2 linked regions of the Oryctolagus cuniculus genome follow. The protein of the gene in region 1 interacts with the protein of each later gene in a biochemical or structural test. Links are inferred from orthologs where the notes say so. Each region holds a gene or a part of one and is shown on either strand. Other genes may lie near its edges.

Evidence for each region.
Region 2: the proteins of CD2BP2 (region 1) and CD2 interact in a biophysical measurement, tested with the Homo sapiens proteins (6 studies listed by BioGRID and IntAct, with this or other methods). The link is inferred for Oryctolagus cuniculus from reciprocal best matches to the Homo sapiens genes CD2BP2 and CD2.

The regions. Positions count from the first base shown.
Region 1 is NC_091450.1:6,706,352-6,710,746, reverse strand, and holds CD2BP2 (CD2 antigen cytoplasmic tail-binding protein 2), read right to left. Parts: upstream 2,955-4,395; 5' UTR 2,825-2,954; exon of another isoform or gene 2,680-2,824; intron 2,569-2,679; exon of another isoform or gene 2,300-2,568; 5' UTR 2,274-2,299; coding exon 2,199-2,273; intron 2,036-2,198; coding exon 1,900-2,035; intron 1,794-1,899; coding exon 1,636-1,793; intron 1,514-1,635; coding exon 1,078-1,513; intron 992-1,077; coding exon 885-991; intron 796-884; coding exon 685-795; 3' UTR 468-684; downstream 1-467. Other genes in the region: sesquipedalian-1, read left to right, coding at 3,824-4,395. UniProt on the Homo sapiens protein: Involved in pre-mRNA splicing as component of the U5 snRNP complex that is involved in spliceosome assembly.
Region 2 is NC_091438.1:53,725,020-53,729,496, forward strand, and holds the start of CD2 (T-cell surface antigen CD2), read right to left. Parts: upstream 2,922-4,477; 5' UTR 2,668-2,921; coding exon 2,607-2,667; intron 2,467-2,606; coding exon 2,143-2,466; intron 1-2,142. UniProt on the Homo sapiens protein: CD2 interacts with lymphocyte function-associated antigen CD58 (LFA-3) and CD48/BCM1 to mediate adhesion between T-cells and other cell types. CD2 is implicated in the triggering of T-cells, the cytoplasmic domain is implicated in the signaling function.

The sequences.
Region 1 (4,395 bases):
CTATGGCCTGGGAAAGAAGTAGAAGATGGCCCAAGTCCCTGGGCCCCTGCACCCACGTGGGAGACCCGGAAGAAGCTCCTGGCTCCTGGCTTTGGATTGGCTCAGCTCCAGCCGTTGCAGCCAACTGGGGAGTGAACCAGCGGATGGAAGACCTCTCTCTGTGTAATTCTGACTTTCAAATAAATAAATAAATCTTTTTTAAAAAAATTAAAAAAAAGAGAATTCCTGCTCATCCTTGGTCTTCGAGACGTCCCACTAACACCTGCAATTCCTGGGCCCGGGGCTCAGGTCCCCAGCGGCTGTGAGGACAGAGGAGGCGAGGTCAGCACAGCGAGAAGCCCGCGCAGGCGCAGATCAGGGCGGGGCCCACACAGGACACCTGCCAGTCAGGGAGGCGGGAAACGAAGGTGAGGAGGGTTCAAGGCACCGGGGAGAGACCACGGCAGAGGAAAAAGCGTACAAACACATAACAGTCTGAAGGGCTGTGGAGACGGCCCCCGGCTCCTGGCCGTCAGCACAGCCGAGGCCCTCGCACACCACTAAAGGCATTTTATTGGGAAAAACAGAAATTGAAAAGTAGCCTCCAATCTTCTCCCTGCCCAAGGCAGCTGGGGGCCGGCTCCCCCAAAGTCCAGCAGAGAACGGGGGAGGTGGGGGGGGCGCCCAACTGGGCCCTCCGCAGGCTCAGGTGTAGAGGTCGAAGTCGATGCGTTTGGAGTTGTAGAACTGACCACCCGGGGGATCCAGCTTCCGGCAGTAGACTCCGTCTGGGAAGTAGCCTTCGCTCACCCAGGTCTGCAGGTAGACAGGGCGGGGCTGACACGGCGGGGCGGGGCGGGCCGGGGGTGGGGCGGGGCGTGCGGGGGAGGGGGGGGGGCGCTCACCTGCATCTGGGCACTGGTGAAGGGTCCGTAGAGCTCGGCCTCCCCGGTGTTCTCCCACTTATATTCCCACATCACGTCCACCAGGCCGTCGCCCGCCGACTCTGCCTCTGCAACCAGAGGCGGAGCCGATTGGAGCTCCACTGCCCGGCCTCCAGTCCACACCGCTGCCCCTCCTCTGCCCTCCAAAGCTCACCTTCTCTCTGGGGAGGGGTCGGGGTCTCCAGCTCCCCCTCAGCCACCTCCTCCGCAAACATGTCCAGGGAGGGCGGGGGCGTGGAATCCTGGGCCCCCTGGGTCCGACACCCCAACCCCTTCAGCCGCATGGCCAGGCGCTCTCGAGTTTCCTGGTAAACGCCAAGGTTGCCCCGGGCCACCATCTGGTCAGCCAACCCAGACAGCCGGTCCAGGCGCTGGGGGGAACTGGGCCGCCCGGGCCCCTTGCTGTTCCCTTTGCCCCCTCCTCGGGCCCCCAGCCGCCTCAGTGCCCCGGCCACTGTCTCCCTGGGCAGCAGCAGCTCTAGAAGTCCCTCGAGGAGGGCTTGGGCGCTCAGTGGTGTCTGGCCCAGGCTGTCCTCCTCCTCCGAGTCTGAAGCCCGGCGCTGATCCGGGGGCCGCTCCCTGATCTTCACCTAGAATGCAAGAAAGGGGTCAGGGTCGGGGGCTGCAGGGGGTTGTTTCCTACAAACCTGCTCCAGGAGCCCAGATCCAGCCCCCCCACCCCACCCCAGCCGTGCTGAGCCCTGGGCCGCACCCAATCAATATTGTCCAGCCAGCTGTCCTGGATTTGAGCGTCCCGGTTCAGGAAGTAGTTGCCATCGGCATCAAAGTGGCCTTCCTCCATCTCCTCCTGCAGGTTGAAGGGAGTGATGCGCACCCCTCCCTCACTGGGGAGCGTGGCTGCTTCCTGACCTGCATCAGAGACAGAGTCGCCCCATGCGAGGCATGCAAAAAAAAGAGAGAGACAGGAACCTCCCTCCCTCAAGTCCCCACTCGTCCCTCCCTGGGTGCTACTCACCTTCCACATCCTCTGAGGCCAGGATGTCATACTTGCTGGACCCCTCGTCGTCATCATCCTCTTCATCGCTGTCCAAGGAGTGCTTGCCTTTGAAGCGGCTCCCGGGACCCCCGGGCCCAGTCACGGGGTCCACCAGCTGAGAGCAGGAAGGGAGAAATGCAGAATTCTCAGCTCCTCCCAGACTCCAGCATCTGCACCCAAGCTGAGCACCCTCCAAACCCAGTCCTGGGGGACCTGCCCTCCTCTTCAGGCTCCGCTCTGCCTCCCCTCCCCCCAACAAAACGGTCTGGCCCCCTCACCTTCTTCCTGGGAACACTGACTTCATCCTCATCCTCGTCTCCCACGCCTTGGAAGGTCACTTTCCGCTTTGGCATGACGGGCCAGGGGGGCTTCCCTTAACCTGATGGGGGAAAAGTTGCAGAGGAAGCGGCCTGAGCGGGAGGCCACCCACTGCAAGAGAACCCTGGCCACAGGACACGCTTCCTGGTGCGTGCCAGGTCCATTGGGAGGGAAGAGCACAGAGAATCGGGGGCCAGAGCGGGAGCTGCAGCCCGGAGGCTCCCACGGCCTCGGCTCGCCATCCCAGAGCTAACGGAGCTGGGACGCCAGGCCAGACGCGGGGAGTATCCCCACCCCGACGACAGGGGCCCGGCTCCCCCACGTGACCACGCCCATATCCGGCCTCCGCAGTCTGAGCGCTACCGGGCTCGGCGGGCACACACACCCGCTCCCGCAACCCCAAAGCCCTCGGAGCCCGCGGGGCCCGGGCCGACCCAGGACCTGGCGCTCCCGGCCGCTCTGCTCCTCCTCCTCGCGCCGAACTCCCAATTCCACGTGGTTGACCCCCCAACTGTCCCGGGGTGTGTACAGATTAGAGGGCGGCACAGCCACGGGGACTCCGGCAGCCAGCCCCGCGCGCGCTCACCTGGGGATCTAGGGGAGGCAGGGGAAGAAAAGGAGAGATGCTTTCACCAGGGCTGTATCCGGGGCACCTGGCCGCCATCACCCGGAAGCGTACGGCGGAGGCCGGAAGTGGCTTCACTCCACTTGAAGGACTAACAGGAAGAGCGGGCGGAAGTAGGTAGTGAGCTAGGCGGCAACCTCCAACCCTGTCCCCCGCCAGGAGTGACGTGAGCCGCGCGGGTCTGCAGCGGCGAGGAGTGTGCGGGCGCCTAGACCCTGATCGGCGCGGAGGATGCCCCGAAGTGGCTTCGATGCCCTCACGCAGCCTCTGGGGGATGCAACTCCACTTAGAGGGGAGCCCAGGGTCAGGATGGAGGGGCAGAGGAGGAGCAGAGCCGATGGGTTCCAGCCCCAGGTGCCCCTTCCGGGGTTCGCACCACCGTTTCCCGCAGACTGGCCAAGTGCCTTACACTTGTCAGAGCTGCGCCCTCTCCTAGCGTGAGGCGCGGCCCTGCTCTTCTCCCTAAGGGAAGCCAGGCTCACCTGATGGCCTCTGAGGGCACTTGGGACACTTTCAGAACCCAGCCGCCTTTAGGACCCAGGGGAAATCACGTGCTCCACGCCTGTCCGCGGAGCCAGTTCCTGATTTCTGAGGCGGGGCAGCCACTGCTGCAGAGGTGGCATTGTCGCGGGTGCCCTGTGGCCAGCCCAGAAGCCCCTGTGCCTGCTCTCAGGTAGGCCTAGGAAAGGGCAATGGTCCCTCCGGCACCACAGCGGTGGGATGAAGCCCCCGCCCCCTTAGCAATCAGGGCCCAGCGACCCTGCCTAGGTGATGGGATTTGAGGCGGGGAGGTGGGCGGGCCTGGCCCTGGGTGGTGGGACAAGACAGCTAACGCCCAAGGGTGTGCAGGCCAAGACTGTGCCCAGGCAGAGCCTGCTGGAGCTAGGAGGGCGTGAGCATCCTCCCAGGCAACCAGGGGACCACTCCTCTCTCCCCCAGGGTCCCTCCAGGGCCACCACCATGAAACTGCACCGCAAGTCTGTGCTCAGTTTCTTCCAAGGCTGCAGAGCCCAGGCCCCAGACCAGGAGGGCATCTTGCTGAAGAAGGGGGCCCGAAACAGCAGCTACCAGCGCCGCTGGTTTGTCCTCCGTGGAAACCTCCTCTTCTACCTGGAACACCAGGAAGCCCACACTCCCCTGGGCCTCATCCTGTTGGAGAGCTGCCGGGTGGAGCCTCGCCTTAAGGCCGCAGAGCCCTTCGCCTTCACCATCGTGACCCCCGGGGGAGAGGGCACAGGGGGGCGGGCCTACAAGCTGGCCGCAGAAAGCCAGGAGGAGCTGAGGGCTTGGCTGTGGGCGCTGGCCGGGGTGAGCTGGAGGCGGCTGGCTAGGCTGCTTCCCCCCATGGAGGCCCAGTACCGGGAGCTCTGCCAGGCGGCTGGCCAAGAACCCAGGTGCCCCGCCGAGGACTGTGGCTTTCTAGCCATCCTCGGGCCCCACTCCAGCTTCCAGGAGCTGCACGAGCGCTTTGGGAAGGAGATCCGGGTGCTGCTGGCAGTGCACAGAGGACTCCGGGAAGCCAGGTCCCAGGC
Region 2 (4,477 bases), on another chromosome or scaffold:
AGAAAAAAAAGGGGGGGGGGCGGCGCTGTGGTATAGCAGATAAAACCACTGCCTGCAGTGCCAGCATCCCACATGGGCACTGGTTCAAGTCCCGGCTGCTCCACTTCTGATCCAGCTCTCTGCTATGGCCTGGGAAAGCAGCAGAAGCCCCTGTACCCATGTGGGAGACCTGGAGGAAGCTCCTGGCTCCTGGCTTCGGATCACCCCAGCTCCAGTCATTGCAGCCATGTGGGGAGTGAACCAGCAGATGGAAGACCTCTCCCTCTGCCTCTGCCTCTGCCTCTTTGTAACTCTTCTTTTCATTCTTCTTTTTTAAAAAAAAAAATATTTATTTGTATGAAAGGCAGAGTTACAGAGAAAGAAGTAGAGGCAAAGAGAGAGGTCTTCCATCCGCTGGTTCACTCCCCACATGGCTGCAACAGCCGGAGCTGCACTGATCCAAAGCCAGGAGCCAGGAGCTTCTTCTGGGTCTCCCACACTGGTGCAGGGATCCAAGGACTTGGGTTATCTTCCACTGCTTTCCCAGGCCACAGCAGAGAGCTGGATCAGAAGTGGAACAGCCAGGTCTCATACCGGCTCCCATATGGTGTGTGAATTATATCCCAGTGAAACTGTTTGTGGCGGCCGCCACCCTTGCCCAAGCCTCCCTAGGTTTGAGTCTGGACAAATGATGAGACCTTGGACAAGTCACTTCCTGCCGGGTCTCTGGGGAATAGTAACAACCTCCTCTAGGGACTGCTGAGGGCTTCGGGTGAGACCAGCAAGCAGGCACCTGACACCTAGCCGTAGCTGTTATTACCACCGTGGTGCCGAACACCACAGCACTGGGAAAACCCAGCACGCGCCTCTGTGTGGGGCTCATATTCAATGGCGGGCATGGAGCCGACCTGGCTGGAGTCATGGCTGCACTGTTCCCAGAGCCCATGACACAAGGCCCCTTCTGGGACCCTTCCCAGCCACATCCCACTTCCGGGAGGTGCTTTGCAGTCACCGTTGCAGCACCAGGGTGTGGAAAGGTGGCAGTGGCAGGGGAGCGGGTCATGTGCGGGGCTGTGAAGCTGCCACTGGGCCTAGGTGCTGAGAAGGACCTAAGTGGGGGGAGGGGCTCTGCCCCGTGACACTTCCTGTGTGAAGCACAGACACGTTCTTGTGCGTATGAAATTGCTGACCTGGGCTCGGGCTGGGGCTCCTGTCTTCCTTGGCAGGCCAGGTGTCATTTCCTCCTCTGACTTCTTATTGCTCCCTGCCCCATGTACCCTAGCCTTTCAATGTCAATGGCATCTCAGGTCCACCTCCCCGCCCCCCATGCTTTCTTCACAGGCAACTCAGGGAACACTCATCCCTCAACCAGGCTGCTCCCGCCGATCACCTGGGGTCTCACCTGGGAGCGTTCGAGCCGACCCAGGCCCAGACCCCGTGCCAAAAAATTCCTGCCAAATGGTCTGGAGTGGGGGCCGTCCCTGTTGATCCCAACACGCAGCCTCACCAGCACTCCCAGCAGCCCCTCGTCCCTCACTGCATTATAGCAGCAGCTCTGGCAGCTCGCTGGCTCCATCTGCAACGTCCACAGCTGCGCTCCCAGGGCAGGCAGACAGACAAGCCCCACCTCTTGCTTTTTCTCCACTTGACCCCTCTGCCATGGAGCAGATCAGAAACAAAGGCTTCATGGTGTCCAACTCTCGTGCCATAGAACTCTTCCTCCAGGACCCCTGGCTTGAAGCTGGCTCGCCCGTCATCCTCCACCTGTCGGCCCCACACCTTGTGCCCCACTGCATCACCCATCTGGAACTGTTAACTTTTCCTCTGCCCGCCTGTCCCCCGGCCCCAATTAGTGCCACCCTAATGTCCAGGTTGGTCACCCAGCCCCACAGCTCTATAATCAGCCCGAGAGGGAACTGTGGGCAGATGCACTTGAGGGTTCATCAGCGTGCACTTCCATGTGTGTGGATTTCATGCCCTCACACACACACACACACACACACACACGCCCCTGAACAAAGTCTTCACCGGGGCAGGAGACAAGTCCCTTAGAGTGCTCCTGGAGGTGGCAAATGCAGTTGGGGACATTTCCCAGATGCTCTTTCCCAGATTGCTAAAACAGCACCCAGCTGAAACGGAGAAGTTTAGGGAACGAAGACTTACCTTGAACCTTCAAATCAAACGTTTTTTCCAACACACACTCTCCTTTTGTATTATATATGATAACCTTGTAGCTACTGTTAGAATGTCTGTTTAGTTGTTTAATTTTCAGAGTTACATTTCCAACGAGCTCATAAGTCCCATTGAGACTGTAGGTGTCCTTGTCTTTTTTGAACTGTGCAACCCTGCTTTCTTCTCTGACCCAGCGTATATCCTCGGTATCGTCACTCATTGAGAAATCCGGGATGCGTAGTTCAACGTCATGATCCAAGGCCCCCCAGACGACCTCCGGATCCGAGGAGACCTTCGTACCCCACGAAGCTGCACCTACGAAAAGCAAGACAGTGGCTGAGGCCTGAAGTCGCCCGGCTTCAGGGCAAGGCTGGGCTGTGCCGTTTCGCTCTCAGGCTCACTTCAGGGTTCCCAGAGAAGCTTGCTTGACACTGCAGACCCACACAGCACCTTACCTTTGGTGGAAAAGCTGAAAATCACAAGCAAGCTGGCCAGCATTTTATCTGGGAGTCTCATCTTCGGGGTCAATTTCCTTGCTGTGGGTCTGAGCTCTTCTCGCAAAAGGAACTGTAGTCAGACTGGTGGAATCCACCCTGCCAGCTTAACCACGTGCCTCTCCCCTTTCTTCTGGTACAGTGACATGAAACACACACACACGCGTACACACACACACTAACAAACCAACCCTTCTGATGTTTTCCTTTGTCTAAGCAGGTGTGTTTAAAAGCACGTTTTCTAATCACATTTTCATCTTCACCGGAAAAAAAAAAATGAGGGAAAGAATTGGCTTTATCCCCATTAAAGAGAAAAAGAGCTGAGGGGTGGAGCATCAGCCAGGTCCGGCCTTTTGTAAATGAGGGGCCGGTTCTAATACACAGCCCATCTTTCGTCTACTCAACTACATAGTTTCTAAGAGCACAGGGATGGGTGGATGAATGTTCAGAAGAGAGTAGAAGGAAACAAATGTTTAACCCATTATTATATTACCAGTATTGGAGAATGCACTCATAGGAAATATTAGGAAATGGATTTTCTCTGTCCCAAAAGATGTTTTTATAATACTCTAAAACTGTGCAAGAAAAAGAAACATACATTATGTCTCAGCTGCAGATGCCTACAATCCTCAAAACGTATGTTTAACATAGCTCATTTGTTTGTTTGTTTGTTTGTTTTTTGACAGGCAGAGTGGACAGTGAGAGAGACAGACAGAGAGAAAGGTCTTCCTTTGCCGTTGGTTCACCCTCCAATGGCCGCCACGGCCGGCCCGCTGTGGCCGGCGCACTGCGCTGATCCGATGGCAGGAGCCAGGTACTTATCCTGGTCTCCCATGGGGTGCAGGGCCCAAGTACTTGAGCCATCCTCCACTGCACTCCCTGGCCACAGCAGAGAGCTGGCCTAGAAGAGGGGCAACCGGGACAGAATCCGGCGCCCCGACTGGGACTAGAACCTGGTGTGCCGGCGCCACAAGGTGGAGGATTAGCCTAGTGAGCCACAGTGCTGGCCAACATAGCTCTTTTTAAAATTTATTTATTTGAGAGGTAGAGTTACAGAGAGAGAAACAGAGAGCTGTCTTCCATCTGCTGGTCCATTCCCCAGGTGGCTGGGCAGATCCCAAGCCAGGAGCCAGAAGCCTCCTCCTCTATATCTCCCACGTGTGCACAGGGACCCAAGCACTTGGGTCATCTTCCACCGCCCTCCCAGGCCACAGTGAGCTGGACCAGAAGAGGAGCAGCTGGGTCTTGAACCGTCGCCCACATGGGATGCTAGCACCACAGGCAGAGGCTCAATCCATGATGCAACAGCGCCAGCCCCTTAACATACATTTTATAACTCTATTGAAATTCAGAGTTAGGGCCTGCGCTATGGCGCAGCAGGTTAACGCCATGGCCTGAAGCGCCGGCATCCCATATGGATGCCGGTTCGAGTCCCGGCTGCTCGTCTTTCAATCCAGCTCTCTGCTATGGCCTAGGAAAGCAGTGGAAGATGGCCCAAGTCCTTGGGCCCCTGCACCCACATGGGAGACCCAGAAGAGACTCCTAGCTCCTGGCTTCAGATCAGCTCAGCTCTGGCCATTGCGGTCATTTGGGGAGTGAACTAGCAGATGGAAAATTTCCCTCTCTCTCTCTGGCTCTACCTCTCTCTGTAATTCTGACTTTCAAATAAATAAAATAAATTTTTTTAAAAAAGAAAGAAATTCAGAGTTAGGTAAGTAAAAATCTATTCCAAAACAAACAAAGGCACAGAGACAAAGAAATGCTATTAAGCAACCAGAAAATATTCCAAAACATTGAAGGTGGTTAACATTATAGTTCGGGAAAAGCACTGA